Linked DNA regions of Arabidopsis thaliana. Each later gene encodes a partner of the first gene's protein in a complex. Each region holds a gene or a part of one and is shown in the gene's direction. Other genes may lie near its edges. The genes, in order: EIF3C, TRIP-1, EIF3E and AT4G20980.

The links.
Region 2: EIF3C (region 1) and TRIP-1 share a complex: the UniProt entries of both Arabidopsis thaliana proteins name them as parts of the eukaryotic translation initiation factor 3 (eIF-3) complex.
Region 3: EIF3C (region 1) and EIF3E share a complex: the UniProt entries of both Arabidopsis thaliana proteins name them as parts of the eukaryotic translation initiation factor 3 (eIF-3) complex.
Region 4: EIF3C (region 1) and AT4G20980 share a complex: the UniProt entries of both Arabidopsis thaliana proteins name them as parts of the eukaryotic translation initiation factor 3 (eIF-3) complex.

What each region holds. Positions count from the first base shown.
Region 1 is NC_003074.8:20,832,652-20,838,824, reverse strand, and holds EIF3C (eukaryotic translation initiation factor 3C), read left to right. Parts: upstream 1-1,549; 5' UTR 1,550-1,760; intron 1,761-1,950; exon of another isoform or gene 1,951-1,973; 5' UTR 1,974-2,004; coding exon 2,005-2,028; intron 2,029-2,116; coding exon 2,117-3,871; intron 3,872-4,111; coding exon 4,112-5,035; 3' UTR 5,036-5,415; downstream 5,416-6,173. Other genes in the region: AT3G56160 (Sodium Bile acid symporter family), read left to right, coding at 1-43, 431-516, 638-758, 834-935, 1,015-1,092; AT3G56140 (DUF399 family protein, putative (DUF399 and DUF3411)), read right to left, coding at 6,156-6,173. UniProt on the Arabidopsis thaliana protein: Component of the eukaryotic translation initiation factor 3 (eIF-3) complex, which is involved in protein synthesis of a specialized repertoire of mRNAs and, together with other initiation factors, stimulates binding of mRNA and methionyl-tRNAi to the 40S ribosome.
Region 2 is NC_003071.7:19,002,558-19,007,620, reverse strand, and holds TRIP-1 (TGF-beta receptor interacting protein 1), read left to right. Parts: upstream 1-1,888; 5' UTR 1,889-2,113; exon of another isoform or gene 2,114-2,199; 5' UTR 2,200-2,227; coding exon 2,228-2,411; intron 2,412-2,559; coding exon 2,560-2,775; intron 2,776-2,870; coding exon 2,871-3,004; intron 3,005-3,101; coding exon 3,102-3,221; intron 3,222-3,331; coding exon 3,332-3,421; coding exon of another isoform or gene 3,422-3,442; exon of another isoform or gene 3,443-3,514; coding exon 3,515-3,601; intron 3,602-3,701; coding exon 3,702-3,781; intron 3,782-3,889; coding exon 3,890-3,965; 3' UTR 3,966-4,463; downstream 4,464-5,063. Other genes in the region: AT2G46290 (Transducin/WD40 repeat-like superfamily protein), read left to right, coding at 1-191, 327-542, 639-772, 873-992, 1,095-1,184, 1,280-1,366, 1,454-1,533, 1,636-1,711; GBF3 (G-box binding factor 3), read right to left, coding at 4,720-4,899, 4,985-5,063. UniProt on the Arabidopsis thaliana protein: Component of the eukaryotic translation initiation factor 3 (eIF-3) complex, which is involved in protein synthesis of a specialized repertoire of mRNAs and, together with other initiation factors, stimulates binding of mRNA and methionyl-tRNAi to the 40S ribosome.
Region 3 is NC_003074.8:21,195,719-21,201,237, reverse strand, and holds EIF3E (eukaryotic translation initiation factor 3E), read left to right. Parts: upstream 1-1,918; 5' UTR 1,919-2,164; coding exon 2,165-2,384; intron 2,385-2,482; coding exon 2,483-2,637; intron 2,638-2,745; coding exon 2,746-2,973; intron 2,974-3,062; coding exon 3,063-3,184; intron 3,185-3,504; coding exon 3,505-3,724; intron 3,725-3,803; coding exon 3,804-3,946; intron 3,947-4,142; coding exon 4,143-4,280; intron 4,281-4,352; coding exon 4,353-4,452; 3' UTR 4,453-4,721; downstream 4,722-5,519. Other genes in the region: INO80 (DNA helicase INO80-like protein), read right to left, coding at 1-106, 238-670, 792-1,170, 1,275-1,362, 1,567-1,626. UniProt on the Arabidopsis thaliana protein: Component of the eukaryotic translation initiation factor 3 (eIF-3) complex, which is involved in protein synthesis of a specialized repertoire of mRNAs and, together with other initiation factors, stimulates binding of mRNA and methionyl-tRNAi to the 40S ribosome.
Region 4 is NC_003075.7:11,215,029-11,220,339, forward strand, and holds AT4G20980 (Eukaryotic translation initiation factor 3 subunit 7 (eIF-3)), read left to right. Parts: upstream 1-1,852; 5' UTR 1,853-1,968; coding exon 1,969-3,744; 3' UTR 3,745-3,759; exon of another isoform or gene 3,760-4,040; 3' UTR 4,041-4,150; exon of another isoform or gene 4,151-4,352; intron 4,353-4,539; 3' UTR 4,540-4,610; downstream 4,611-5,311. Other genes in the region: AT4G20970 (basic helix-loop-helix (bHLH) DNA-binding superfamily protein), read left to right, coding at 231-362, 462-827, 1,110-1,184; ACA4 (alpha carbonic anhydrase 4), read left to right, coding at 4,744-4,834, 4,932-5,146, 5,230-5,311. UniProt on the Arabidopsis thaliana protein: mRNA cap-binding component of the eukaryotic translation initiation factor 3 (eIF-3) complex, which is involved in protein synthesis of a specialized repertoire of mRNAs and, together with other initiation factors, stimulates binding of mRNA and methionyl-tRNAi to the 40S ribosome.

The sequences.
Region 1 (6,173 bases):
CCGTAAACTCTTTTCGAAAATCAACGCAATCTGCCTCAGTTTGGTAAGATATGAAATGTTAGTCTCCCGTAATTTCTACACCCCTTGAATAACTTTCTGAAGTCATATCCTTGGAGTTTTGCTTTGTTGCAGGAATCTTAAACTTGGCATTTTAGATGCCTGTACTTAAAACTTTCTCTTTTCTTGTATGATAGCTTGGGATTTCAACATTCCGTGGCATTGATGTGCCAATCCAAAGCTTTTACTAAATTGCAAAAACCATATTTGCAGTCACGGTTATGACTTTGGAGATAGAAGGACTTAATACTTTTTTCCTTTTTATAGTTTAACCTCTGCTTCCCTGGCTACTTCAACTGGTCTGACTTTGTTATTGCATTTACCTGGTTATTTTGGGAACTTAATAGTGTTTATTCCATGATTAATATTCTAGGTGCCATGGATCCAAGTGAGCAGGTCAAGATCACTGCTACTATCCGTTCAACCTAAGGTTTTCCTTGCAGCAGTTGGCATTGGAATGTACGCATTCTTCTTTTAACATATAGAAAAGATACCAAGTGAAGAAGCTCATGGAAATATTTGGCTTGTGTGTTAGAAATGCGGATTACGTTTGACAGAAGATTCTTACGTCTTCTTACAGATTGCTGCATCTTTCTCTACTAGCATTCAATGCTGTTTCAATCCGCATCCTCTCCGGTCTTACAGGTGGTAGCAAGAGCTCCAAGGAAAACAGCACTGCAGTTTTGCTCGTTTCAAGCCAGGTAATAATAGAGTTTGCCTTTTAGAACCGATTTTGATCTCTTAAATTTGGGAGTTCTTTTCTTGTGGTGGCATAGAAAACATTACCGGTAATGGTGGCGGTAGTAGAGCAATTAGGAGGTGCATTTGGTGAGACAGGGCTATTGGTTCTTCCTTGTGTAGCTGCACACCTGAACCAGGTTACAAATTGTATTATAATCATCATGTACTTGTGTGCATAATTTTATAAATTATTGACGTAAATCTGGAATGTTACAGATCATGATTGATTCAGTTCTTGTCAACTTATGGCTCCGGAGAGGAAAAGATACTTCGACTAAAGTAAAGACAGCTTGAGAGAGAGAGAGAGAGATAGAAAGCAATGAAACCAATGCTGTGGAGAAGGTTACATCCTAAACACACTGAATGTCAGTTATATACATAGCAGCAAGACTGGGGATTTTGATATCTTTCCAATCACCAAAGCTTAGTTGATCATTGACCATCTCTCTCTCTCTCTCTCTTTCTGTATGTATATGCTCTAGAGATTCCGGTCGGTGTTTGCTGATCCAATTTGTATGATTTATGAAACTATGTAAAAAAAAAACTTGTATCTATATTTGAAAACATTTAGTCATTTGACGTTACCAGCGTACAAAGCAATTCATATGTAATCTGTCTGATAAGCAGCTAGGAAAGAGGACTAAGAACCGGTTCTTTTCTCAATTTAATTGAACTAACCATCACTACAATTTCATTTAGTCCTGGTTCGACCAATTCGGTTTGTAAATAAAATAAAAACCGATCGAGAGCGTTTTAATTGTCCTCGGTTTTCAGTTTCGGTATGGAAATAGAATCAAATCGAATCCGGTTTAGTGAGTAAATCACGAAACCCTAATTCTATATATTTTTTCATCTCGACCAAAATGCTTGGACGGCTACACACCATTTTTGTTTAGATTCGTAATCCTCCTCAAGCATCTCCTTCGCAAATCTCCATCTCCATCTCCATCTTCTGAATTCAGGTAATTTTGTTCCTCATCATCTAGCGTAACAAATTTTCGATTCTAGTTTGGTGTAGATTGATTCGAATCGATTCTAATTCTTTGTTGATACGAGTCTGTATCTGTGACACGATTGTTTCGTTCAGATTATGTTCTTCGAATGGATTGGTTTGTTTTACTTATAATTTCGTTCCTCTGATTCACTATTCAGATTTGTTACTTTTGGTGTATCAGGTTCTTGTTGCTTACGCTTCCAGCTAAAAAGATGACGTCTCGTTTTTTCACTCAGGTTTCCTTCAACAGACCTCTTGTTTATAAACTCTCTTTACCTTTACTTGCTTCAGTTTCTGAATGATTTTTACTTGTTATGTTGATAGGTTGGAAGTGAAAGTGAAGATGAAAGTGATTATGAGGTAGAGGTTAATGAGGTTCAGAATGATGACGTCAATAACCGTTACCTTCAAAGTGGTAGTGAGGATGATGATGATACTGATACGAAACGTGTGGTTAAGCCTGCTAAGGATAAACGTTTTGAGGAGATGACCTACACTGTTGATCAGATGAAGAATGCTATGAAGATCAATGATTGGGTCAGCCTTCAAGAAAACTTTGATAAGGTTAACAAACAGCTTGAGAAGGTTATGAGGATTACTGAGGCTGTGAAGCCTCCTACCTTGTATATCAAGACGCTTGTTATGTTGGAGGATTTCTTGAATGAAGCTCTTGCCAATAAGGAAGCCAAGAAGAAGATGAGTACTAGTAACTCCAAGGCTTTGAACTCAATGAAACAGAAATTGAAGAAGAACAATAAGTTGTACGAAGACGATATCAACAAGTATCGTGAGGCTCCAGAAGTTGAGGAAGAGAAACAACCTGAAGATGATGATGATGATGACGATGATGATGATGAGGTTGAAGATGATGATGATTCTTCCATCGACGGACCTACCGTAGATCCTGGGTCCGATGTGGATGAACCTACTGATAATCTCACTTGGGAGAAGATGCTGAGCAAAAAAGATAAGCTTTTGGAGAAGCTAATGAATAAAGATCCTAAAGAGATCACTTGGGACTGGGTCAACAAGAAGTTCAAGGAAATTGTGGCTGCTCGTGGAAAAAAGGGCACTGCTCGATTTGAGCTAGTTGATCAGCTTACGCACTTGACAAAGATTGCCAAGACTCCTGCACAGAAGCTTGAAATCTTGTTTAGCGTTATTTCGGCTCAGTTTGATGTGAATCCAGGTCTCAGCGGGCACATGCCTATCAATGTCTGGAAGAAATGCGTGCTTAACATGCTCACCATACTGGACATTCTCGTCAAGTACAGTAACATTGTTGTGGATGACACAGTTGAGCCTGATGAGAACGAAACTTCAAAGCCAACAGATTATGATGGAAAAATTCGGGTCTGGGGAAATTTGGTTGCATTCTTGGAGAGGGTTGACACTGAGTTTTTCAAGAGTTTGCAATGCATTGATCCTCACACCCGTGAGTATGTTGAGAGGCTAAGGGATGAGCCCATGTTCTTGGCCCTTGCTCAGAACATCCAGGACTACTTTGAGCGGATGGGTGATTTTAAAGCTGCTGCAAAGGTAGCCTTAAGACGTGTTGAGGCAATATACTACAAGCCCCAGGAAGTTTATGATGCAATGAGGAAATTGGCTGAGTTGGTGGAAGAAGAAGAAGAAACTGAGGAGGCCAAAGAGGAAAGTGGACCTCCTACTTCATTTATTGTTGTTCCGGAGGTTGTTCCCCGTAAGCCTACCTTCCCAGAGAGCAGCCGAGCTATGATGGATATTCTTGTGTCCCTTATCTACAGAAATGGAGATGAGCGGACCAAAGCGCGTGCGATGCTATGTGATATCAATCACCATGCTTTAATGGACAACTTTGTGACTGCTAGAGACCTGTTGCTGATGAGTCATCTGCAAGACAACATCCAGCACATGGACATCTCAACACAGATTCTCTTTAACAGGACCATGGCGCAGCTTGGTCTTTGCGCCTTCCGGGCTGGAATGATCACTGAGTCCCATAGCTGCCTTTCCGAGCTGTACTCTGGTCAAAGAGTGAGAGAGTTGCTTGCCCAAGGTGTCTCGCAAAGCCGATACCATGAGAAAACCCCGGAGCAGGTAACTAGTTATCTTCTGTTTTTAGATTTAATACAGATAGGATTGAAAAAAAATTGTTTGACCAGATAGTTCTGATTGAGACATGATTACAAACACTGTTGCATTTTTGGGTTCTTCATTTTGTTTCATTTCACACAATCCATTTTCTCTATTTCAACATGGATGCTTATGGTTATGTTTTTCGTTCAGTTTATTTATATGTGATATAAAACTTTCTTGGTTTATTTCTTGATTTACCAGGAAAGGATGGAAAGGAGAAGACAAATGCCGTACCACATGCACTTAAACCTTGAGCTTCTGGAGGCAGTTCATCTCATCTGTGCCATGCTTCTTGAAGTCCCAAACATGGCTGCAAACTCGCACGATGCCAAACGCAGAGTGATTAGCAAGAATTTCCGCCGCCTGCTCGAGATCAGTGAAAGGCAAGCATTCACTGCACCGCCTGAGAATGTACGTGACCATGTCATGGCAGCCACCAGAGCCCTGACCAAAGGAGATTTCCAGAAGGCGTTTGAAGTTTTGAACTCTCTTGAGGTCTGGAGGCTGCTCAAGAACCGTGACAGCATCCTTGACATGGTGAAGGATAGGATCAAAGAAGAGGCTCTAAGGACTTACCTATTCACATACTCAAGCTCTTATGAGTCCTTGAGTCTTGATCAGCTGGCCAAAATGTTTGACGTCTCTGAGCCGCAGGTCCACAGCATTGTGAGTAAGATGATGATTAATGAGGAACTGCATGCAAGCTGGGATCAGCCAACACGATGCATCGTCTTCCATGAAGTGCAACACAGCAGATTACAATCATTGGCTTTCCAGTTAACGGAGAAACTCTCGATTTTGGCAGAAAGCAATGAGAGGGCAATGGAATCTAGAACCGGTGGAGGTGGTCTGGATCTGAGTTCAAGGAGAAGGGACAACAATCAGGACTATGCAGGAGCAGCATCAGGTGGTGGTGGATATTGGCAAGACAAGGCGAATTACGGACAAGGAAGACAAGGCAACAGATCAGGTTATGGTGGAGGAAGATCATCTGGACAAAATGGTCAGTGGTCAGGGCAGAACCGAGGAGGAGGGTATGCAGGAAGAGTTGGTTCAGGAAACAGAGGTATGCAGATGGATGGCTCAAGCCGTATGGTGAGTCTTAACCGAGGTGTTCGTACTTAAAGAGGATGAGGAGAAATCTGCAGTGTTGACCTTAGTCTCAACCTTTTGTTATGTTTTGGATTCCTTTTGGTTATCAAATGGTTCTTTCTAAGAGATGTTCATCACATTTTCTCGCATTGTGATTGTTTATTTTCTTTGTGATATTGGCAGTTGTTGGAAAAGACTTTTAAGAATGCTTTACTGGAAAGTTTAATAAGTTTTTTTTTATGCGTCATTCTTGTTGAAAAGAAGAAGGCTTAGGTTTTTTCTCGTATGCTTGCAGGTCTGTTTTTGTTGATGTCTTTTACTCTTTCATCTTTGTTTGCTTAGTAACTTCCTCTCGATGAAGTGTTTGATTAATTTCTTATCAAGAACATCTGTGATTTAATCGGCTACTTTCGTGGAGCTAGCGACAATGAATATTGTTGAGAAAATTCTTTTTTTTTTTTGGAACTCTTATCTTATTATAACTCATGTTGTATGGCAAACACAGATACAAAAAAGAAACACAAGCTTGTCGTAGTAAGTACTAAGTAGTAACTAGTACAAGTGACATGGTTGCATTTGCCAAAGCCGGATAAAGATGCTGAAGAAGTATCCGGTGGAGTGAAAGGCTCTTCTGCTGCACTTAAAAGGATAATAATGCTGTGGACTTGCGGCTCAGAGACGTCAAACATTTTGGCCAGCTGATCAAGACTGGAGGACTCATAAGAGCCGGATAAAGATTCTCTCAGCAATCTTCACATCACTCATATTGTTAGTTATTGTCACTCTCTCTCTACTCTATGTTGAATCTGCACAATTAATGTTGATGATTTAAATGTCCTTTTTCTTTGCTTACATACCAAATAGAATTTCTGAACCACAACTTATTGCCAGCTGAGATACCATCTCCTTCTCCCGTGCAAAAGTATTTGTCAACTAGAAAAATGATTGCTTAAGTACGAAGAACGATAAATAGAGAAACAATCAATGTGAGTTTAAGACAACAAATTTATATTGAAACCATCACTATTTGCCAAGCACATGTACGAACATACAACTTAAGAAATGTGAAATTATTATATGCTAATTTCTACGATCTAAAGCTTATATGGCAAACAACTATTAATTGATAACTAGTGGGGTAGCCTCACCAGTATCATTGATTATTGAGCTT
Region 2 (5,063 bases), on another chromosome or scaffold:
AACGAGGATGAGGCCGATTTTGATGAAGGGACATGAACGTCCATTGACGTTCCTGAGGTACAACAGAAATGGTGATCTGCTTTTCTCCTGCGCCAAAGACCACACTCCCACAGTCTGGTTTGCCGATAACGGCGAGCGTCTTGGCACTTACCGTGGCCACAGTGGTGCTGTTTGGTGCTGTGATATCTCCAGTAAGTGGTCTCAGCCTCTCAAATTCAAATAGTATATAGTGGATGGAATGGATTCAGTTTAGGATTTAAGTCGTTGTCTTTGTTGTTTTAGTCTTTCATAGCTTAACGATTAGTGTTTTGTTTGTGATTTCTTAGGAGACTCGTCTAGATTGATCACTGGTAGTGCTGATCAGACTGCAAAGCTGTGGGATGTGAAATCTGGCAAAGAATTGTTCACTTTCAAGTTTGGTGCCCCTGCAAGGTCTGTGGATTTCTCTGTTGGTGATCATCTTGCAGTGATTACCACTGATCACTTCGTGGGAACTTCCTCTGCTATTCATGTCAAACGCATTGCAGAAGATCCCGAAGACCGTAAGTTGTCAATTCTAAGTTAAAATCTACTTATGTTTTTTAGCCTATGTCTTTTTTGTATGGGTAAAAGGAATTGATTTAATGTAATTGATGTAGAGGTTGGTGATTCTGTGCTTGTCCTTCAAAGTCCTGATGGAAAGAAGAAGATCAATAGAGCTGTTTGGGGTCCCCTGAACCAAACCATTGTTAGTGGTGGTGAAGATGCTGCTATCAGAATCTGGGATGCAGAGGTATTTCAACTTTCTTAAGGCCTTTCTTTTGTCTATCAATATCTCTCTTTTTTTTTTTATTAGCTTAAACCTTATGTGGTGCTACTGCCATTGTTACTAGACTGGAAAATTGCTTAAGCAATCAGATGAGGAAGTGGGTCACAAGGAGGCCATTACATCCCTCTGCAAAGCAGCTGATGACTCTCACTTCCTTACAGGTTCACATGACAAAACTGCAAAGGCATGTGCTTCTTTCTTTTACTTGTTTCAAAAATATGCTCTATACATATTACATATAGAGATAAATCATCTAATAGAGTGTTCTTTTTGTTGATTCTTTCAGCTTTGGGACATGAGAACGCTGACTCTTATTAAGACTTACACCACTGTGGTGCCTGTAAATGCTGTCGCCATGTCTCCACTTCTCAACCATGTATGCACTAATGCTTCTTGAAATTCAAATTCGGTTCCCAAAAGCAACAAGTCTTGATGTTATCTTTGTGAATGTTTCTGCTCTCGCTCTTTTAGGTTGTGCTTGGAGGTGGTCAAGATGCATCAGCTGTGACTACCACTGATCATCGTGCTGGGAAGTTTGAAGCTAAGTTTTACGACACGGTTAGTGTTGCAGTAAAACAGTTTTATTTAAAAACTTGTAACCTGGAAAGAGATATGTAACTGTGTATTTGGTCTTATAATATATAGATTCTGCAAGAGGAAATTGGTGGCGTGAAAGGTCATTTTGGACCTATTAATGCTTTGGCATTCAGTCCTGATGGGAAGAGGTAAACTAACAAAATTTGATTTTGATTGATTGATACAATCCTCAGTTGATGAGAGTGTTTTTTAGGCTTTGTTGCTGAGTGTTTTTTGGAATGTATTTTCAGTTTCTCTAGTGGAGGTGAAGACGGCTACGTGAGACTGCATCATTTTGACTCCAATTACTTCAACATCAAGATTTAGATTCTTTGAACATGTCTTTCCATTTTTTCATCATTCCACATAATATTTTCTCTCTTTTTAACATTTTCAGAATTGATGTACTACCAAATTACCAATATACTACTTTGATGATAAAGCTTGTTGTTTGTCTTTTCAAATAGACATATGCACCCACAAAAAAAAAACGTATGAAACTGCTTTTGAGAAAGGAAAAAAACAAAATAGGCGCAACGGGCGAGGTTCGAACTCATCAAATAGGGAAGAAGCTAAAAACGCTGAAGCCACTGAGCTTTGCTAAACTGTGGCATCTCGAGTAATTTAAAAAATTACAAAAGGGTAAAAGTGTCAAAAGAGAGGACAAAGTTGATTTCCTAGGGTTTTTGCACTTCTTCCTCGTCGTCTCTCTCGTCTTCAAGTGAACAGGTGAAGAAGAAAGCCGTTTTCCGTAATCGTTTCTTCAATTATTTTTCTTGTCTTTTGATTGATTCGATTTCGTATCTGTTTCAAAGATTCGCATCAAACCCTAAGAAACTGAAGATGAGGCCGATCCTGATGAAGGGACATGAACGTCCATTGACGTTTCTGAGGTACAACAGAGAAGGAGATCTGCTTTTCTCCTGCGCCAAGGACCACACACCCACCCTCTGGTTTGCCGATAACGGCGAGCGCCTTGGAACTTACCGTGGTCACAACGGTGCTGTTTGGTGCTGTGATGTCTCCCGTAAGTTTCTCAATTTCTCTTCAAATAGTATCGAGTCGATGATTAGATTCATTGTTTCCCCTTAGCTACAAGCTTGTTTAGGGTTTATAGTATCGAGTGAATTCTGTCGTCTTAGTCTTTCAAAGCTGAATGTTTAGTGATTTCTTAGGAGACTCGTCAAGATTGATCACTGGTAGTGCTGATCAGACTGCAAAGCTGTGGGATGTAAAATCTGGAAAAGAATTGTTCACTTTCAAGTTTAATGCCCCTACGAGGTCTGTGGATTTCGCTGTTGGAGATCGTCTTGCAGTGATTACCACTGATCACTTCGTGGACCGTACCGCTGCTATTCATGTGAAGCGTATTGCGGAAGATCCTGAGGAACGTAAGTTGTACATTCCTAGCTGAATTACTACTTACGTTTTAGCCAACTTCTTGTATGTGTTAAAAGGAAATTGTTTGTTTGATGCAATTGTGTAGAGGATGCTGAGTCTGTGCTTGTCCTTCATTGTCCTGATGGAAAGAAGAGGATCAATAGAGCTGTTTGGGGTCCCCTGAACCAAACTATTGTTAGTGGTGGTGAAGATAAAGTTATCAGAATCTGGGATGCCGAGGTATTTCAATTTTTCTTAAGGCCTTACTTGTGTATTAATTTCTCTCTTTTAAGGTTATGAACTAAACCTTATGTGGTGCTACTGCCATTGTTACTAGACGGGAAAATTGCTCAAGCAATCAGATGAGGAAGTGGGTCACAAGAAGGACATTACATCGCTCTGCAAAGCAGCTGATGACTCTCACTTCCTTACAGGTTCACTTGACAAAACTGCAAAGGCATGTGCTTCTTTCTTTTACTTGTACAGTATATCTTGTTTCAAATTTTTGCACTATACATATAGATATAAATCATCTAATAGAGTGTTCTCTTTTGTTGATTGTTTCAGCTTTGGGACATGAGAACGCTGACTCTTCTTAAGACTTACACCACTGTGGTGCCCGTAAATGCTGTCTCCCTGTCTCCACTTCTCAACCATGTATGCACTAATGCTTCATGAAATTCAATTTCGAATCCCAGAATCAGCAAGGCATGATGTTATCTTTGTGAATGTTTCTGCTCTCTCTTTTAGGTTGTACTTGGAGGTGGTCAAGATGCATCAGCTGTGACTACCACTGATCATCGTGCTGGAAAGTTTGAAGCTAAGTTTTACGACAAGGTTAGTGTTTATAATAAGAGTGTTTTACTTGGAAACATGTAACCTGGAAAATACACATATTTAAATAACCGTGTATCATTGTGTTTGGTATAATATATAGATTCTGCAAGAGGAAATTGGTGGTGTGAAAGGTCATTTTGGACCTATAAATGCTTTGGCATTCAATCCTGATGGGAAGAGGTAAATTAACAACATTTGGATTTTGATTGATTGACACAATCCTCACATGATGAGGTTTTGAGTGTGTGTTTTGGCTCTCTCACTGAGTTTGTGGAATGTATATTTCAGTTTCTCTAGTGGAGGTGAAGACGGTTACGTGAGGCTGCATCATTTTGACTCCGACTACTTCAACATCAAGATTTAGATTCCGACTACTTGAACGTCAACCTTTTAGAATCTTTGAAAAAGTCTCCCATTCCGGATTTTGTTTTCTCTCTCTTTTAACATTTTCATGTTTTTATTTACTACCAATACAAATACCTTGATGATAAAGCTTTTGAATTTTGACAGAATCTTTAGTTTTCATTTCCAGAGTTCTCAGTACAAGTTAATTAACCTGCTCTATGTGTGAGCGAGCATTAATATTCAGCTTTTATAAAATAAACTCGGTTGTAGAAAAGAATGCCTTGTGTGATTGACAGTCCTCAAGAGTAGCGAAGAAAATCACCCAAAGACAGACTCATAATGTTTGTGATATTCGTGATGATTATTGGATCTATAAATTTTCGGAGAGAGATGTATGAAACCTGAAAAGAAAGATCCTTTATGCATGAAACCTTGACAAAAGAAACAAAAGCTTACGCAAAGCAATAACACCGATTTCATAAAATTACATCAGGTCTAAAACAAGGAAATGCAACAAAGGAAGCCATTTTATAAAAAAAGAAAAGCCTCTCTATATTAACAGTAACAAACCATAACACCAAATTTTCATCTGGAGGAAAAGTTTCTCTTTCTCCCTCTCTCTCTCCGAAAATTTATAGATCAATAATCATCACACCTCTCTCTCTCTCTCTCTCTCTACTATACTATCTATCAAGTTTTTCTGAAATTAGTAGCACTTATTTTCTTTGTTTATGTCGACAAATTAAGTAGAAATCGACATGAATTACCATCGATCAGCCTGCAGCTACTGCTTTAGCTCGAGGCTTCGTATCGAGCAGTTGATGCAATTTGCTTGTAGAGTTAGAATCATTGTCTCCTTGGTTCTTGTTCTTATCTCCAGCTCCTGAGTTCTTAACTCTAGACAACATATTTGCGGGGACTCTCTTTTCGGGTTCCGAGCATTTCAGTTTGTCCTGCAACCCAAAAAGAACCGGCCATGTTCAAGAAAATGACACGCCTTCATAAAGATAATTTGTTGGTTAATGATAGCTTACTTACCAACAAGGTTGCATTTGCTCCTCTTAGTTTATCAGATTTCTCATTAAGTTGGTTTAGTTCAGATCTTAATGCCATGTTT
Region 3 (5,519 bases), 360 kb from region 1:
TGACAATATTGATCCAGGCTTTTCTAATTTTATCCCTTTCTGTTTTCTCAATGACTGCAGGATCATTCTTTGCTTTCAGCTTCTTCGGTAGACTTCGTTTAACAATCTGAAGAAAGGATACATAAAACAATGTCGGAACAAAAAGATAATGTTGTTAATAAAGCCATGAATGAGCCATGAATGAGCCATGAAGGATTCAAAACTATGATTCATAAAATACTGCCACAGAATCCAAACCTCGTATGTATCCCCCTTCTCCAGAATCTTCACGTAATGGACCTGTAAAACACCACCCTCAGACAGAATTGTCCGTGCAGTACTTCCAGCAGATCCTTCTGGAATGGCAGAATTCATTGCAGCTTCTGACACCTTGAGGCTAAAATTTGGGGTGGAGTTTGAAGGTGACAGGGCCTTCATTCTAGCTTGAAGAGATTCATATTGAGGTCGAGGCTCACCCATTCCATTACGGCTTCTTACTCCAGACCTTTTATCACTTGCCATCAGTTCTGCTAATGATCTCAGATCCAGAGTTCCTTTCAAGTAAAATTCTTCCACATGAATGTCTGAAAAGCTCGGTAAGTTTAATGATGCCACCAGCTTGTCATAACTTGGGGGGATTTTGTAGATGACACCATCACCAATGTCCAAATACGAAGGTTCATATGCTATCCTGCAAATGATGCAAAATTCAACGTGTCAATCTAGGAAACCCAACACCGTAAGTTATCTAAGCGGATTACACAGGGTTACACGGATCCCATGGAACATGAAAAAACATATGATCAACATACTTGGGTGTAATATCACGATCATGGTAGCTTCCTCGCCTATGTGGGGTCACATCAGCTGCAAAATTTGGAGAGTTGTCCATGTCATAGAACCTCCCATGGTAATCATTCCCTGGTTTCCTACCTCTGTAACTGCCCACATTGCTCTTTAGCACCGGAAAACCCATCAGATGAGGAGGATTCCCTTGAGTCTCCTTGGACCTATTTTTGAATTTTTGTACATGCTCCCCAAGCATTGATCGGTAGTGCTCCTCAGTAACATGTTGATTGTAGAGATCATCATCGTCCTCTGCATCCTCAGCTTCTGTCCACCGCTTTCTCTTCTTGGAGCTCGCATTCATTCTCGATTTAGACCCATTGCTGTAGTTTGCCACTACCCCACCTTTAACCATTACCAACCATATAGACAGAACACAGATAAACGTCACTTAAAACTATCACAGTAGGTGGCAAAAGTAATTCCATAAAACCAATTAAAAACTGTACCTTGAGTGCTTCTACTTTCATCCTGGCTACTACTCCCATAATAATCAACTTCATCTTCAGGTTTCGGAATTCTAAACTTCATCAACGGCTGCAAGAATGAAGAATTTAGCCACAAAACCCACACTGAATTTCAACAGTAAAACAAAAACACACTGTAGAAACAAGGAGAAGCTATACAATTGCAAGATTTCCAATCACCAAAACTACATTCATCACAGTCACATGATCATCATCCAACAAGTACAAACCATCAATTTCAAGGAAATCACAAAAAAATTGAGACCTAACAGACCTCGAGATCGAATAGATTCGCGTAAGGAGAGTCCTTCGGTGGTCGTCTTGAAGGATCCATGAGAGACGGGAAGAGAATAACACGGCGTCAAAATTTTGGAGAGTCTTAATCCTTAAAAGCTTCTAGACAGAAACATTCGTCACGAGAAAGAAAAAGAGTTCGTCTCGAAGAAGAACCCTAATCCAGTATGATAGAGGAAGAGGGCGAAAGGTTAAAGACGAACATGCGCAAGTTAGTGGACACAGGCGGTACAGAAAGAAGTCCAGACTACTAACATACGCCAAACGAATAAAGCTTCTTACCGTGCGCCTCTCCACAAAAAACATTTAATTATTATTTTTTCTTAACCCCTCCGGTACCGGCCGATCAGATAACGACGGCTAAGTTATCGTTTTGGAGATAAAAATACCTTGTGGGGTAAACAACAATATATAAGAAGTAAAGGGGCGAATTTATAAATATTGAAAGCTCATATTCGAGAAAACCCTAATTTCAATATACAGGATTTTTTACCTCGTCGTCTCTGAAACTTCATCTCTGCCGTCTTAAGAAGATTTTGCCAGTGCGGGAAGCGGCGGAGATTGAGAGATTAGCGACGATGGAGGAAAGCAAACAGAACTATGACCTGACGCCACTAATAGCGCCTAACCTGGACAGACACTTGGTGTTTCCTATATTCGAGTTCCTTCAAGAGCGTCAGCTTTACCCTGATGAGCAGATCCTGAAGTCTAAAATCCAGCTTTTGAACCAGACGAACATGGTTGATTACGCCATGGATATTCACAAGAGTCTCTACCACACTGAAGACGCTCCTCAAGGTATTCTTGTGTATTCCTCTCTGGATATGTCTGTGAATTTGCGTTTTTGTGTACTGGTTTGTTTGTTTGATGATGAATGTTGAAATTTGTGGTGATAGAAATGGTGGAGAGAAGAACAGAGGTTGTCGCTAGGCTCAAATCTTTGGAGGAGGCTGCTGCACCACTCGTGTCTTTTCTTTTGAACCCTAACGCTGTGCAGGAGCTAAGAGCTGACAAGCAGTACAATCTCCAAATGCTCAAGGAACGCTACCAGGTTGTGATTTGGATGATTAAGTTGTTTAATTTTGTGAAATGTTATCCAGATTTGGTTTTGTTTGTGTATTGTGGAACACAAATCTTATATGGCTTGGTGTCTTATCAGATTGGTCCAGACCAGATTGAGGCTTTGTACCAGTACGCCAAGTTTCAGTTTGAATGTGGCAACTATTCTGGTGCTGCTGATTATCTTTACCAGTACAGGACCCTGTGCTCTAACCTTGAGAGGAGTTTGAGTGCCTTGTGGGGAAAGCTCGCATCTGAAATATTGATGCAAAACTGGGATATTGCTCTTGAAGAGCTTAACCGTCTCAAAGAGATTATTGACTCAAAGGTTAGTATTTAAAACTTCTTCTAGTTTGCGACCTTTGAAATCAATATAGATGTGAGAGTATATATGCTAACTACCATTTGTTTTTTCAGAGTTTTTCATCGCCGTTAAACCAGGTGCAGAACAGGATTTGGTTGATGCATTGGGGTCTGTATATCTTTTTTAACCATGATAATGGAAGGACACAGATCATTGATCTTTTTAACCAAGACAAGTAAGCCTCTACCTCTCTGTTATCTGCATCTCTTCTTTATACCTTTCATCACCATCTATTTCCTTGCGTTTTAAGATAAGCATGATCTAGATGCGATGAAGTTATGTATAGGTGGTGTTTGTGTGTAGAACTTTGTTTATAGTTAATGTTAGTCCTGATGTGCCTACAAGTAATTAGCAGTCACTAGTTTTAGAGTCTTCTCCTTCTTTTCATCCAGACCTATTCTTAAGATTGTGCTTTGTGTATGGGCATTTGCTGAAAAATAATTCACTTTGTTTTCATGCTGCAGTTCTGTATACTAATTTGATTTACTTTTTCAGGTATCTGAATGCCATCCAAACTAGTGCTCCACACTTGCTGCGCTACTTGGCAACTGCTTTCATTGTCAACAAAAGGAGAAGACCACAATTGAAAGAATTCATTAAGGTCATTCAGCAAGAGCACTACTCCTACAAAGATCCAATTATCGAGTTCCTGGCATGTGTGTTTGTCAATTATGACTTTGATGGGGCTCAAAAGAAGATGAAAGAGTGTGAAGAGGTAACTCATCCACATGTATAGATATTTTTGTTTGTGCAGAACTGTGCAATCAATACTCTGACATTTTAACATGATGTAGGTCATTGTGAATGATCCATTCCTTGGCAAGCGAGTTGAGGATGGAAACTTTTCAACTGTACCACTGAGAGATGAATTTCTTGAAAATGCCCGCCTATTCGTCTTTGAAACCTATTGCAAAATTCATCAAAGGATTGACATGGGGTAAGTTCTCACATTTGGTTGTATATGTTTACACATAACTCTGCTCTCCGGATTGCTCAATGTTTGGAATTTTCTCTATTCCTTATCTTTCCCAACACATGAAAATTGCCATATCCAGCTATTTAAGTTGAGAAGAATTGTTGCGGTCTTGTGGTTTAACTTTGTACTCATGTCGAGCCTATATTTCCCTTGTCAGGGTACTTGCTGAAAAATTGAATCTGAACTATGAGGAGGCCGAGAGATGGATTGTGAACCTAATCCGCACCTCAAAGCTTGATGCCAAGATTGATTCTGAGTCAGGAACTGTAATCATGGAGCCTACTCAGCCCAACGTGTAAGTAGAATAAGCTTAAATCTATGATATCATTCGTATTCTACAATCTAATCTTGTTTCCGCTTTATGCAGGCATGAGCAGTTGATAAACCACACCAAAGGCTTATCAGGACGAACATACAAGTTAGTGAATCAGCTCTTGGAACACACACAGGCGCAAGCAACTCGCTAGTCAAAATTTTGCTGTGGAAGCCTTTCCTTGATAAAACTCACCTTCGGTTGACTGGAATTATTTTCTTTTTCTTGCTCTGAGTTCACCTTTTACTTTGAAAAAGATTATTATGGAGTTGTTCTATTTGAAATGTTGGATCCACAGATTGGAACATTTTCCAACCAAATCAGCATTTTGTATCCACCCTAAGCATTTAAAGGTTTTTGCAAGCCAACGTAAATTACTGCCTTACATTGAGCATCTCTGATTTGCGTAATAGTAAGTACAATAATAGCATATAACAGAAGTAAGAAAAACAAAACTTAAGAGTTAAGACTATGACAGTGGAAAGAACAGGTCACAAACAAAACAAGTATATCAATTCGTAAATAGTATAAAGTTACTCCAGAAGTCCAACTCGCCAGAGTCATCAAAAGAGAGAAGATAAATTCAATTTCTTTGGAGGTGGGTGCCCTCCAGAGAGTACCACATAAGAATAGAAACACAACATGCAATGGAAATGGCATATAGTGTGTTTTGATCTTTCCAGTGGATCTTTTGAAGCGAGTATGAAAATACCATTTACCACTGATGGTCGAGTTACTATAAGCAACATGAAGGACCGTTTGTGTATATCAGAGGGGAAGGACATGAAACAAGAGATATGGTCATTAAACTCTCGCAAGAAATGGGAGAAGACGTATTCGATTGATTTGAATAGAACTTCCATTTGGTGTCGCCGCCATCCGAATTTGCCAACAAAAACAATCACAACATTTCAGAAAAATAAGATTTTGCTTCATAATTGGAAGATAACTGGCCGTACTTTAATTATACATGATCCGGAACAAAATTCTTATGATTTTAGCTTTTAAATTTCAGCATAAAGGGGTTTCTAACTTTCTATCGCTTATTTCCCAAGTTTACTCACTGTATAACTGGTAGACGCATTATTTCTTATTATTGTTTCAGGATTGAGCTAGCAATAACTTTTCTATATTACTTATGTTTTAGTCTTCTTTCTTTATCTCTTTTTATTTATTTATTACTATGATATTCGAATATAGACAATCAAAGCATATCTCACA
Region 4 (5,311 bases), on another chromosome or scaffold:
TAACGACGAGTCAAGATATATATTTAAAGAACTTACTTTTTTCCACTTTGTTTTGCTTTTTTTTTTTTTAGTCTTTGGTACATATATATTACAAACCCTTTTCCAGTAAATAGTTAGCACAAACTAATTATCAGATGTCACTTAAACCAACCTCCTTCTTTATATAAGCTTGGTTAACATTGAGTTTGTTATCATGGTCTATGTGAAACAATTCAGGAATAAAAAAAGAAATGGAGCCGAGCCATTCAAACACAGGTCAATCAAGATCTGTAGATCGCAAAACGGTTGAGAAAAATAGAAGGATGCAAATGAAGTCTCTCTACTCAGAACTCATCTCTCTTCTTCCTCATCATTCTTCTACGGTTTCTTCCTCTTGGCCCTCTTATATGCTTATATAATCTAAGATTCCATGTATGGGTGATGATCTTAATATTCTAAACTCTTTTATTATTTCATGTTAGGAGCCTTTAACACTACCTGATCAGCTAGATGAAGCTGCAAACTACATCAAGAAGCTACAAGTGAACGTGGAGAAAAAGAGAGAAAGGAAAAGGAACCTCGTTGCGACTACAACTTTGGAGAAACTGAATTCCGTCGGATCTTCATCGGTTTCGTCGAGCGTCGATGTCTCCGTGCCAAGAAAGCTGCCAAAAATCGAGATTCAAGAAACTGGTTCCATTTTTCACATCTTTCTTGTGACAAGCTTGGAACACAAGTTTATGTTTTGTGAGATCATTCGTGTTCTCACCGAGGAATTAGGAGCTGAGATCACTCATGCTGGATACTCCATTGTTGATGATGCTGTCTTCCACACCCTTCACTGCAAGGTATAATTCGGAAAGTAAAACATTTTTTGCAATGGAATTTAAGAATCAAACTTTGCTACTACTACTATGTTAAAACTAGGTCTAATCCAGCTTGTATACACATTGGGAATGAGTTCAAAGTTAGGGAATGATATTTATACTTGTTGTTTTTATATTTAATAAAACTTGCACTCAAAAACGCTAAGAAGCTGCATGTTCCCATCTGATTGTTAAGTTTCTACTAGCTGATTCCTATTAATATCCATATGTTAGTAAACTAAATTTAATTTATATTTTATATAGGTGGAAGAACACGATTATGGAGCTAGGAGTCAAATTCCTGAAAGACTGGAGAAGATTGTGAACAGTGTTCACTAATATTGATTCCTTGTTCCTTTATTAAAAAAAAAAGTTCTATGTTTTTGTTCCTTTTCTTGAATTATTTTTGGTGTTAGCTAGATTCCTTTTCTTGAATTGTATCATGTGCTGTGAGAGTGATGTTTCATTTGTAAGCATAATATATACTTTTCTCTACTTAAAGCTGTGAAATATATTTTGTTTTTTGGTATCAACAAAGCTGTGAAATATATGAAACTTAGGATGATGATTTTCAAGAACGAAACCAAAAAAAAAAGTTTCTTAGAATTAATACATGAACGAGCGAAATAACTTCACCTTTTTTCAATGTGTTATACTTGCCCAAGCATTTGTAATCTAGTGATAGGAGAAACTTTGGTGATAGGTGAAACTCTCAGATCCGAGTTTGAATATCCCGTGGTATTAGTTAGAAAACATTTAAATTCGGGACAGATAGTGTTGTGGTCCTTCGGGAAAAGTTTACTTCGGAGCACTTTGGTGCGTTTCTATCGAAGCTGACCAGATCAGCAAATAGAGTTTATCAAAAAAAAATGTGTTATACTATTTCAAATTGATGAATTTGAATTCTAAATTTTTATTTTATTTTATTTTTTTCTCAAAGTCAGAAATGAAAAACATGATTTAAGACTTCAAGTGTTATATATGGGTTTTGAAGAATACTAAAGCCCATGAGCCCAAACATTAACAAAAATGTTTTTTTCTTGTACCTTCTCTCTTCAACGTAGACTAAAGAATTAGGGTTTCCGCTTTCCACACACACAGCTGCAACACTATCTTCTCAGAAATGGTAACCGAAGCTTTCGAATTCGTCGCCGTTCCTTTCAATTCCGATGGCTGGGGACCTCCAGACGCTTCCGACGTTTCCTCCTCCGCCTCTCCCACCAGCGTCGCCGCCGCTAATCTTCTCCCGAACGTTCCTTTCGCTTCCTTCTCCCGTTCCGATAAGCTCGGCCGTGTAGCTGATTGGACTCGCAATCTCTCTAATCCATCCGCTCGTCCTAACACCGGATCCAAATCAGATCCGTCTGCAGTTTTCGATTTCTCCGCTTTCGCAATCGACGAAGGCTTCGGTCTCGCTTCCTCCGGTGGTAATCCCGACGAAGACGCAGCTTTCCGTCTCGTCGACGGTAAACCTCCGCCGCGTCCTAAATTCGGACCTAAATGGCGTTTCAATCCTCACCACAATCGGAATCAGCTTCCTCAACGGCGAGATGAAGAAGTTGAAGCTAAGAAGCGTGATGCTGAGAAGGAACGAGCTCGTCGTGATCGTCTCTACAATAACAACCGTAACAACATCCATCACCAACGCCGTGAAGCTGCCGCTTTCAAATCATCCGTTGATATTCAGCCGGAGTGGAACATGCTTGAGCAGATCCCTTTCTCAACATTCTCGAAGCTCTCGTACACAGTTCAAGAACCAGAAGATCTTCTTCTCTGTGGTGGCCTTGAGTACTACAACCGCCTTTTCGATCGCATAACGCCGAAAAACGAACGCAGACTCGAGCGTTTCAAGAACAGGAACTTCTTCAAAGTCACTACTAGTGATGATCCTGTGATTAGGCGTTTAGCTAAGGAAGACAAAGCTACTGTTTTCGCTACTGATGCTATATTAGCTGCTCTTATGTGTGCTCCTAGATCTGTTTACTCTTGGGATATTGTTATTCAACGTGTTGGTAACAAACTGTTCTTTGACAAGAGAGATGGATCACAGCTTGATTTGTTGTCTGTGCATGAGACATCTCAAGAGCCATTGCCTGAGTCTAAAGATGATATCAATTCTGCTCATTCTCTAGGTGTGGAAGCTGCTTACATCAATCAGAACTTTTCGCAGCAGGTTTTGGTTAGAGATGGAAAGAAGGAAACTTTTGATGAAGCCAATCCATTTGCTAATGAAGGTGAAGAGATTGCTTCTGTTGCTTATAGGTATAGAAGGTGGAAGCTTGATGATAATATGCATCTTGTTGCGAGGTGTGAGTTACAGAGTGTTGCTGATCTCAACAACCAAAGGTCGTTTCTTACTTTGAATGCTCTTAACGAGTTTGATCCTAAGTACTCTGGTGTTGATTGGAGACAGAAGCTTGAAACTCAGAGAGGTGCGGTTTTAGCTACAGAATTGAAGAACAATGGAAATAAGTTGGCTAAATGGACTGCACAAGCTTTATTGGCTAATGCTGATATGATGAAGATTGGTTTTGTCTCTAGGGTTCATCCTCGTGATCATTTCAACCATGTTATATTATCTGTTTTGGGGTATAAGCCGAAGGATTTCGCTGGACAGATTAATCTCAACACTTCTAACATGTGGGGGATTGTGAAATCCATAGTTGATCTGTGTATGAAACTAAGCGAAGGGAAGTATGTTCTTGTGAAGGATCCATCGAAGCCTCAAGTGAGGATTTATGAGGTTCCACCTGATGCTTTCGAGAATGATTACGTTGAGGAACCGTTGCCTGAAGATGAACAGGTTCAGCCAACTGAGGAAAACACAGAGGGAGCAGAAGCAAGTGTAGCTGCAACTAAAGAAACCGAGGAGAAGAAAGCTGATGATGCTCAAGCTTGATGGTTATAAAGTCAGGTAGTTCATACAAACAACTCTCAAATTCAAAAGGCGGTTACCATAATATGCTTGTTGGATTTGATTGAACACTTGTTTAGGATCGTGAATTTATACTTAGAACCCAAGAAAATGCAGAAAGTTGGTTCTTACTTCTTAGCCATAGAATCTTGTTCTTATTCATCTGAATTTCATTCTTATAGTTTAGAAACTGGTGACTTAGATTAATTGATGATCTTTATTATAAGTATAAACGTCGTATGAAGCATCGTCATTCACAATTTGGATACTATATTCTTCAGGTCCAAAGTCTACACCTTTCGTTTCTGGGTTCTTTTGAGAGTTGAAGCTTCAATCAAACAACAACAATGGAGGTTCCTTTTTTAATTATCTTGTCCTTTTTCAAATTTTTGTGGTACTGCTGTAATTTTAAGTCAGAAATGAGATTGTAGAACACTATCTTCGTGACATCTTTTGGAAAATCATTACGGATTGTTTACAGAACAGAAATCTTTTTACTATGACTCTTATAGCCACCAAATTTTCTTGAATCATTTTGCATTAGTTTTATAAAATTTGGTATTTTATGGTTCCAACTTTTGTTTGTTTCGGTCGTTTGGCGTATTCTCTTATGAGCTTGATCCTATTGTCCTGGTCGGTTTTTATCTCTGTTAAACTGACATAGATCCTATTGTCCTGGTCGGTTTTAATCTCTGTTAAACCGACATACTTCACATATATTTATTATTATAAACCCCAAATTAGAAAACTCAACCAAAATGGTTTTTACTAAGCATTCAGTTTTTTTTTTTTTTTTTTCATGTTTCCAATAGTAACATCAGATTATTAACTAATAATCGTAGCAACGGCAAAAACCATATCAGAACAGCAGAACAAACATCCCCCAAAAGCCTCCTCTTAAATAGGTTGTCTCTAAACCCTTCAATCTCCAAAACATAATAACATACTCCATTAAGCAAAATCTAATCTCGAAAGAAGAGAAACATGGATACCAACGCAAAAACAATTTTCTTCATGGCTATGTGTTTCATCTATCTATCTTTCCCTAATATTTCACACGCTCATTCTGAAGTCGGTATGATTACTACATCTCTATTGCATTCTAGTAAAATTAATCTTTTGTATCAAAATTCAGATTTAATGATTTGTTATTAACTTTAATCTGAAAACAGACGACGAAACTCCATTTACTTACGAACAAAAAACGGAAAAGGGACCAGAGGGATGGGGCAAAATAAATCCGCACTGGAAAGTTTGTAACACCGGAAGATATCAATCCCCGATCGATCTTACTAACGAAAGAGTCAGTCTTATTCATGATCAAGCATGGACAAGACAATATAAACCAGCTCCGGCTGTAATTACAAACAGAGGCCATGACATTATGGTACGTAAAACTTTATTATAGAATTCAGTTATTCTCACTTAACTATATTATTATTACAACACTAATCATTTGAAATCTTAAAGGTATCATGGAAAGGAGATGCTGGGAAGATGACAATACGGAAAACGGATTTTAATTTGGTGCAATGCCATTGGCATTCACCTT